Saccharomyces cerevisiae S288C: one gene and its partners. The protein of the gene in region 2 purifies or fractionates together with the protein of the main gene of each other region. This does not show direct contact. Each region holds a gene or a part of one and is shown on either strand. Other genes may lie near its edges. The genes, in order: CUE4, YET3 and YPF1.

Evidence for each region.
Region 1: the proteins of YET3 (region 2) and CUE4 purify together in Saccharomyces cerevisiae (affinity purification with mass spectrometry, with the first as the bait; one large-scale study listed by BioGRID). This does not show direct contact.
Region 3: the proteins of YET3 (region 2) and YPF1 purify together in Saccharomyces cerevisiae (affinity purification with mass spectrometry, with the first as the bait; one large-scale study listed by BioGRID). This does not show direct contact.

What each region holds. Positions count from the first base shown.
Region 1 is NC_001145.3:69,074-71,643, forward strand, and holds CUE4 (Cue4p), read right to left. Parts: upstream 1,016-2,570; coding exon 662-1,015; downstream 1-661. Other genes in the region: CAC2 (Cac2p), read left to right, coding at 1-627; YML100W-A (uncharacterized protein), read left to right, coding at 1,065-1,238; TSL1 (trehalose 6-phosphate synthase/phosphatase complex subunit), read left to right, coding at 1,551-2,570.
Region 2 is NC_001136.10:329,175-331,980, reverse strand, and holds YET3 (Yet3p), read left to right. Parts: upstream 1-1,533; coding exon 1,534-2,145; downstream 2,146-2,806. Other genes in the region: BDF2 (Bdf2p), read right to left, coding at 1-957; AHK1 (Ahk1p), read right to left, coding at 2,414-2,806. UniProt on the Saccharomyces cerevisiae protein: May play a role in anterograde transport of membrane proteins from the endoplasmic reticulum to the Golgi. May be involved in invertase secretion.
Region 3 is NC_001143.9:253,179-257,481, forward strand, and holds YPF1 (aspartic endopeptidase), read right to left. Parts: upstream 2,283-4,303; coding exon 519-2,282; downstream 1-518. Other genes in the region: protein kinase HSL1, read left to right, coding at 1-298; rRNA-processing protein UTP11, read right to left, coding at 2,542-3,294; MTC2 (Mtc2p), read left to right, coding at 3,592-4,303. UniProt on the Saccharomyces cerevisiae protein: May act as intramembrane protease.

The DNA of each region.
Region 1 (2,570 bases), on a different chromosome or scaffold from region 2:
AGGCGATGCAGCATATCGCCTTGTGGTGGTTTGGTCGTAATTCCCAGTGGTGTGTATAAGGTGGCTGGTGATGAAGTCGCGAACTGCGTATACGTGTATACTAGATCTGGAATACTGAACAGCGCTGGTGGCGTTAAAAACCGGCCTGCGATTAGAATCCCATCTTTGAAGAAACCAGCGCTGATGGCGGCTTTCTCGCCCGTATTTTACGAAACGTGCCAGAAGAGTGTGCTTAAGCTGCCCTATAAGCTAGTATTTGCCATAGCAACGACTAACGAAGTACTCGTGTACGACACGGATGTATTGGAGCCGTTATGCGTTGTGGGAAATATACATTACTCACCCATAACTGATTTAGCATGGTCTGAGGATGGCTCGACCCTACTAATCTCATCAACAGACGGATTCTGTTCGTATGTATCGATCGACACAGAAACGCAATTCGGTTCAAGGATAGAGCCGCCAGCGATGCATGCAGAGCCACTAGACACTGACGAGAGCGCGGTAGCGGCTAAGAACCAGCGCGAGGCAGGTGGGATCGTGAACATGCTGCCGGTGAAGAAGATCCCCTGCAATAGTAGCGATAGTAAAAAGAGGCGCATACATCCTACGCCAGTCGATTTGTGATTTTTAATATATTTAATGCGGTACATAAGAATGCCTAATCTAGTTTGCCAGCGAAGATATTTTCCATTGTGTGCTCAATGGACCCTGTGTTCCTGAGATCTTGCACGACTTTTTCCTGAGGCACATGTGGCGCCATCGTCATCACGATTTCAACCATGTCACTATTAACGGCTCTCTTTCGATCACTACCATGTCTGTTTAACCGAGCAACGCGTTCCTCCGGAGCCGATGGTACTGGCTCCGGAGAAGGGTCGTTGGTGGCGACCGAGGGCGCCGGTTTGGCATCCTGTACGGTTCGCGAGGGTACTTGCTTGGCGCCCCTGTGTTTCACGGTGTAAACAAACAAGCACACCATCGTCAGTATAAACACTATAGTCGATCCATCCATTTTTACTTTTGTGCGCGTGGGTAGCCGTGCCTCGTCTGTGTGTGTGGGAATGTATAAATGTGTCCCGAGTTATTATTCTAAAGCGGGCACCATTGTAGTAACTTATTGCGAAATTTCTGCTCTTCTCGTCTCGCTCAAAAATCGCGTTCAGGGTAAAAGGGGCGAAACAGAGGGCCAGATAGAAATTTCGAGAAAAGCGGGTCACCCCGCCCCTGCATTTTGATATGGCGTATTTGGGATTGCTTGCTCGAAAGTGTCTAAGTCCGGCTGGCGGGCCTGGCGCCCTCGCCGAAGGGAGATAGGAAGGGGCGGGGGTCCGGGCAGCGGCTATGGTGTCAGTTACCTAGGGAAGGAGAAGGGGGTAGAACCAAGGGGCTAGCACACTCACCCTGGGGCCCCCGTCTAGCCAAGCTTAAATATAAATACTAATGTAACTATAAATATAAGGATCTACCGTGTCATTGCACATCCACCCACCCGTCGATTAAAAAACCAAACAAAGCAAAGAATACAATAGCAACGCAAGATCAACACAATGGCTCTCATCGTGGCATCTTTGTTTTTGCCCTACCAACCACAATTCGAGCTTGACACCTCTCTCCCTGAGAACTCGCAGGTGGACTCATCTCTCGTGAACATCCAGGCTATGGCCAATGACCAACAGCAACAACGTGCGCTTTCTAACAACATCTCACAGGAATCATTGGTCGCGCCAGCACCAGAACAAGGTGTCCCCCCAGCAATCTCAAGGAGTGCCACCAGGTCACCCAGTGCTTTCAACCGCGCCTCGTCTACGACAAATACTGCCACTTTAGATGATCTTGTCTCTTCGGACATATTCATGGAAAACTTGACTGCGAATGCAACTACCTCACATACGCCAACAAGCAAGACTATGCTTAAACCCCGGAAAAATGGTTCCGTGGAACGATTCTTCTCCCCTTCTTCCAATATTCCCACGGATCGCATCGCATCGCCAATCCAGCATGAGCATGACTCCGGTTCGAGAATTGCTTCGCCAATCCAACAGCAACAGCAGGACCCCACGACCAACTTATTAAAGAACGTCAACAAGTCATTGTTAGTGCACTCACTGTTGAACAACACCTCACAAACTAGCCTAGAAGGACCCAACAACCACATTGTTACCCCGAAATCGAGGGCGGGCAACAGGCCTACTTCGGCGGCTACTTCTTTAGTTAATAGGACCAAACAAGGTTCGGCCTCCTCTGGATCTTCTGGGTCTTCTGCGCCACCTTCCATTAAAAGGATTACGCCCCACTTGACTGCGTCTGCTGCAAAACAGCGTCCCTTATTGGCTAAACAGCCTTCTAATCTGAAATATTCGGAGTTAGCAGATATTTCGTCGAGTGAGACGTCTTCGCAGCATAATGAGTCGGACCCGGATGATCTAACTACTGCCCCTGACGAGGAATATGTTTCTGATTTGGAAATGGATGACGCGAAGCAGGACTACAAGGTTCCAAAGTTCGGCGGCTATTCCAATAAATCTAAACTTAAGAAATATGCGCTGTTAAGGTCATCTCAGGAGCTG
Region 2 (2,806 bases):
TAAAGTCTTTGATTTTGGTTTGGAGTTTTCATATATATCAAACAAATCTTTTGATTTGGGTGGATGAATTGTTCTTTTGGGTCTACCACCACTGACGCCTTCTCTATTTCCGCTTTCCCCAATATTGTCATTGGTGGTACTAACTGAACGTCTAATGACAAGTGGGGAATCCATATCCTCATTTTTTTTCCGGTTTCTGCTTGTTTTCTTCAAGGCAGAAGCGGGTAAAACTCTTGGTGGCATTGCAGATAACTTTTTTTCAAAATACTTTTGAATCCTTTTAGCCATCGAAGAGATTGAAGATTCTGGACCATTAAAGTTTAAACAATTATCCACCATTGTTTTGAAGTCCGATGTGACTTGCTCTACTGAATGATACACGTTGCCCTGCAATTTTGTTTCAATTAAAGACAAATCCATTGGGGTTTGAACGTAGTTGAAATAATGCGGGATGTTCAAAGCAATAGGATCAACCGGCTTCAGAAACGGTCTAGCATCTTTTAATCGTTTGGTCGCCTTAATGGAGCTTAAAAGGTATTTACTTTGGTGTGGTGGTAGTTCCTCCGCTTCCATTTCAGCTTCCAACGCCGGCTCTGTTTCCCGTTCTAGGCCCAAAGGGTGCTCGGGAAAACTTTCCGGAGTGGATGCATTACTAATGGAAATGGGAGACAAAGTTTGGTGGGCGTGGGATGAAGAATTCAGGTTAGTGATACCGCTGCTCGCAAGTTTGTAATTTTCCTCGTGTCCATAGTGGAAGATATCCCTGAAGTGGGGTCCATCGTCGATACTTACCGCGCTGACATTACCGCTATCGTCACCGACGCCGACATTGATATTGTTTTTGTTACTACTACTCTCGCTGCTGCTGTTGCTGCTCCTGCTATTTGCAGTAGCACTCTGTGGTGCTGCCAGTAAAGCAGAATGTGCGTGTCTTGTATCCATGTTAGTACGAGACATAGCCGCCGAGGTTTATTTCGCTCAATCTGTTTGTTTCAGTTTTTCCGCGTTCTCTCTTTTTCGCTCTTTTCTGGCTACCGCGCCCGCCTTATATATAAAATCTCTTCCGAATAACAAAGTGGCCGAAACAAGCGCCAACGTCGACCATTTTGCCACCGTGTCACTGTGCACGAGCAACGAAAAACTGGCGTTGGTTGCGCCTCACGAATTGCTTGAGCCTCTTCCCAATATCATCGCGCATTTATTTGAGTCATTCTCTGCCGCTTTATTATTAAAAGTCTGTGTGCTATCAAAATGCTCTTGCTCCTGTTCACCCTCTATGCGTAAACACTTGCGCGTTTCTCCCTTTCTCTTTTAGCGTTGTTGACGTTGCACTCTTTTTTCGCCTCTTTCTTTTTTTAGCTAGAGGGTCACCCTGCCTGCTTCACTCCATTAAGGGGAAGAAGAGTGGAAAAGTGCCGTATATAACAATGGTATATAGCAAATCCCGATTTAGTAGGAAGATAGAATAGTGAGCTCTTCCAAGGTAACCACGTCACATTATACTCATAACCATAGAATTCACAGAATTGAATCATGTCATTATATTACACCTTGGTTTTTGCCATTCTAGTGGTGGAGATTTTCATGTTCTCCATTCTAGCCCTACCAATCCCTTCTAGATACCGTAGGCCTCTCACCTTACTGTTATTAAAGCCGTTCAAATCCTCCACAGTGCAAGTTGCGATCAAGTGTGTACTTGGGTTCATTCTTTTGCTTTTCATCGATTGTATCAACAGAGTGTACAGCATCGACAAAGAGCTGCAGTTAAGTAGCGCCTCTCAAAATAATGGCGCTATAATCGCTCAAGATAGAATTGAGGTTCTTTCTAGGAAATTCTTTGCCCAAAGGAATATGTATTTGACAGGTATAACTTTGTTTTTGACCTTTGTCGTCGTTAGGACTTTTGGGCTAGTCATAGAACTTTTAACCATGAAAGACATATACAGAGCATCGCCTCCAGTAGCCTCCAGCGATGTCAAGAAGAACGACTCTGTTACTGCCGAAGCTGCTGCTCAATCCGGCGCTTCCAAGGATGACCACGGCGATGAGAAAAATTTTGAACTATTGAAGAAAATTCAGGACATCGATGACGAAATTGCACGTTTAAAGGAGAAGTCGGAATCGTTGCAAGAAGAAATAAATTAGTTTGACGTTTTATTCCTTTTCTTCTGCACAGAAGTGTGTATATATATATTTATATATAGTCGATGTGCAAAAGCCTACATTATTTTTCTTTTGATTTTTATTTTTTTGTTCAAGTAGGTTCATGCCGACAGTAAATCCTTATGCCCTACCTAAATATAAACACCCAAATATATATATATATATATATATATATAAATAATAAAAACGGAAAGGAAATAGAATAATAATAATAATACTACACGTTTACGTATGTAACTCATTCTATTATTCAGACTTTGATATTAATAGAATTATTACTACTAGGTTTCCTCACTTCAAAATCTATAAATATACCGTCATGCTCTAATCGATTGGAAAACTCAAAATATTCTCTTACTGTAGCATTGAACGTCTCAATTAAAACACAGATTTTTTGTATCCTTGTTCTCAACTTCATATCTTGGATCTGCTTCCAAATTGTCACCTCCCGCCCCCCAGTAACTTTCAAATCTTCCACATTCTGATTACCAATTTTGGCTACATCTTGCTCATCTTCCATACATTTGCCAAAAATATTAAAATCAGGCACCGGTATCTCAAAATCTAGACCATTACCGCATAAGGTAGCTAAGTTTCTCGTCTCACTTTCGTTCTTAGCAACACTCGCAACCAAATCTTTCGG
Region 3 (4,303 bases), on a different chromosome or scaffold from region 2:
AACGAATATATCATTTGATGATGCGCATATGCTAACATTAAATGAATTCAACAAGAATAGTATCGACTATCAATTAAAGAACCTAGATCACAAATTTGGGAGAAAGGTGGTGGAATACGATTGTAAATTTGTAAAAGGCAACTTCAAATTCAAAATCAAGATTACTAGCACACCCAATGCATCTACGGTAATTACTGTAAAAAAAAGAAGCAAACATTCAAACACAAGTTCCAATAAAGCCTTTGAAAAGTTTAATGATGATGTGGAGAGAGTAATTCGAAATGCCGGACGTTCATAAATTCTATATAGATGTTATATAATTATACAACAATAATTTGAAAAATTTAACGTACGAGAACCGAATGGACAGGCGTGAGAAAACATAGTTTAAAAGAACATTAATAAATGGAGAGACATGAGACACGAAGGAAAGAAAGAGGGTTTTACAAACATTGTCCTAGATTAGAAGATAAATACAACCCTGGAGGGGTAAAAAGAGCTGTCGTTTCTTTTGGAGCTCAAGAAGATTCGTCATCCAAGAGATCTTCTTCAGAAAGCTCTTCCTCAGAGCTGTCACTGAGATCTTCCTCTTGCACGAATTCTTCATCATCGTCAAAATTTTCGTTTACATCATCACCAAGCAAGGCATACTTGTCGGCATCATTATAGTATTCTGATAGGATGAAGGTCGAATAAGTTATAGAGTTCTCCTTTTTTTCTATCGCTTTTTTTAAACTTTTATCCACTTCAATCGTATCATACTGAAAATTCCAAAACTGCTTAAAATCCTTGTTCCAGCAAGCTACCAAAATAGTACTAATCAACAAGGAAGGAACAATGTATAATAAAGCCGGTTGAGCAGTATTGAAAATGGACAAGGAGACCATGGCAGATACCAAAGAAGCAACGTAACTAACCATAGCAGTAATAAAATATTTTCCAACGTATGACCAGTTCAAAAAGTGGAATTCAGTGTCATCATGATCAAGGTGCCACTTCCAGATGTCATATTTGTAGCACATCGCAATAAACATACCAGGCAAGGCAATATCACCCAGACCAAGTATTGAAAAATTGAAGTTGTTTTGAGCTGTATTAAACTTGACTGGTAAGCTTAGTTTTACGGGAATATCAAGGTTAGTAGCTACTGTAACCATTACATCGGTACCAAAGACAAAGCAAATGTCGTAAAAAAATAGAGCAATTAGGATTAGGGCCCCTGATTTTAAATTCTTCAATTTTAATTGAGCAATGGACCAAATAGCCATATTCATACTGACAGCATTGGATATTAACCAATCATTGGGTGATAAATAGAAATATACGGTAGAAACGATGGACAGAACGAACGAAACAATTAATGCGCTATTCAAATACATGTTGCTGATCTGCCTCTTCGATTTAATATCCTTCGGTTCAACTAATTCTCTTCTGTAAAAATGCTTCATCCAATGATCTTTTTCAATCTCATCCAATGTTTTCTTGTGAACAACTGAGTTGGTCAATCCATCTTTGTAATTCAAATTGGTAACAAACCCGCCTATCTTGTTCAGGTCTTCGTTATCATCAGCTATTGTTACACGATACCTTGGTAAAACAACCAGGGGATTCCAAGAAGCTAAATGTGATAGGTTTCTGAAAAGTGAGTTGAGAAAGTAGGAGTAGACAAATGTGCCAGCTGGGATATTTAGCAGTGTTATATTAAAATTCAAAATTTTCACCACATATTTTAGCCAGTTTAGGTGTAGTTTCTTGATCACAAAATAGAGAGCGAGTAAAGTACAGCCACTAGTTAAGGGCAGTATAATCGCATGTTTTTCATCCATCATATCGAAAAACCTCTTGCTTTTCTTCTTTTTCTTTTTATCTTCGTCATTCTCGCGGTAGATAACATGACAGTCGTGGTCCACATCAAAATCTGTAGGATCAAACAATGAGTGTTCTCTCGTAGGAGGTAGAGCTGTAAATGGAATAGAAGAAATAGACGTAAATGAGCCAATAACGACCAAAGCACTTGCGATGAGAACTAAAGTGGCGTAGTTGAATACTAAAGAATGGCTTTCCACCAAGTGTGTAATCTTGTGAGCAACGCGATATGATATCTTATCAAAGGCAGTGGTTAATTTGTTATTGTGGTTTTCAACTATAGCATTGATCTGTTCAAAAACTTGTTCTAATTCCTTGTTCGACGCACTTTGGTTAGCGCTTGATGAATTGTTCCTAAAGGCACGAGATGACCACTCTGAAAGGTGGTCAACAAATGAATTCAAATACTTGTCCATCGTGTATGAGTTTGTTCCCCATTATAGATCTGTAGTATTGCTCAAAAAGGGAGCACTTTACAAATCTTGTCCTAAATACTCCCATTCGGAGAGGGGTTCTTTTTTTTCCGGTGCCTCAAAATCCTTTTTTTTTTGATGGCGCAAAAGACACTTAAGAAAAGTGAATACTTTTTATAAACGTAATCCTATAAAACATGAAAAGAAGGATTACGGAACGTCTGCCTGATTCACTTATATATACTATATAGATGGTAAAAATCTAACGTTTCCGTTGTTTCTTCCATTTAAATGAAATTTTTCCTGAAGAGTCTACGATTTTTTTCTTGGAACCCTTCTTCAACAATTCTCTTTGAGCATCCATTCTTTGTTGGACCTGTTTCAATTGAGTTTCCCTCTGTAAGTGCTGCTTGACTTGCTTGAACTTTTTCAATTTCTTTTTGTCTAATGATTCCTTTGGCATTATTGATGAAGCGTTCCTATTGTTTGAAATATCTTGGGCTAATTGGTCCTTAGTTAATCTATTTTCAGATCTATTCACCATCTCGGAGGTGGTATTGAAAAACTTCTCTGGGGTGAATTCGTTCATCTTCTCTCGGGAATCGACGAATATTGTATGATTCCCACTGCTTTTGAACATCAACTGTTTCGCTCCTTTCTCCAGCTTTTTCAGCTCTATTTGCCTCAGCGTCCTCACATAATTACTATCTTGCGTTTTGAGTAATTTAACTTGATCCATGGAAAGCGATTCGTCTTCTTCGTCACCGTGACGTGAGCTGATCAGCAGTCCTTTTGCATCTGTCTTCCTTGAATGCATAGCATGGTAGTATTCATCTGGATTTCTCTCTTTTGCTTTTTCTCTGAGGACTTTCAAAGTGGACTGCTTCCTGTGGAAGTCTTGAGCACGTTTCACATAGTCTTTATGCTTTTCTAAAAACCCATATCTGGAACGGCTAGTTAGCTGAGAACGTTCTCTATGCTGCTTTTTCTGAACATCATGTACAAGTTTAGCCATATCTTTTGTCTGTTGTTGGCTGTAACGAACTAGAAAACCCCACTAGTATTATTCGATGATATGCAACTTGCTCTTATTGTAGTTTCTTAGCATTGTTTTCTTTACTCTTTTTCTTCAAATCGCGATGAGCTCATCTAGCCATAAAAAAATTTCATCTTTTACGTGCATAACGACAAACCTTTAAGCCTTAGAGGACTTGGTGATGTGCTCCTTTATAACAACGATTACTTCCATTGAACAGCAACACCTGCAAAATCGGAGCTGCAAAATTATTGATTGGATGTGGCAAAAATAGGAATGGGCGATCATAATCTGCCGGATTTTCAGACATGTTTGAAGTTTTCTGTTACAGCTAAAAAGAGCTTTCTATGTATGTATAGAGACAGCGTCTCAAAGGAAAAATTAGCCTCTTCGATGCCAAGTACTTGTGATATACAACTGAAGAGGGCAATCAATGACGCTTATCCGGGCGGAGGAATAAAGGTCACGGTTCTGAACTCAACAACTGCAAGCTTGGACTCGTTAGCAACTACACATGTTAAGGAATTTGAGATTGTTATCATTCCAGACATAAATTCTCTTTTACAGCCAGACCAAGCGAAATTAGTAAAAATTATGAGAGATTGCACAGTGGCGATTGAGAAGGCACAGTCAACACGTATATTTATAGGAGTGGTTCATTGGAATAATCCCGTGCAGCCTTCAGGCGCCGCTAAGGATGGGGATGAAGCAGGTAAACCAGCTCCCAAAACTCGCATCTTCCTGCCCACGTCTTTCCGTATGGGCGCTTGGCTCAAACACAAATTCTGGTTTGCATGTGCACCCCCATATTTGGATTTTGAAAGTTCAACTGAGTCTAGCATTAATACAAGAGCCAATAATAGCATTGGTATGGCTGAGGAAGAGAAGCAGGAGCCAGAGAGCAAGAGGTCGATCATATTAAATGAAGAGGCAAATCTGAACGATGTATTTGTGGGGTCCACTGTAAGACGGTATATTCTCGATATCA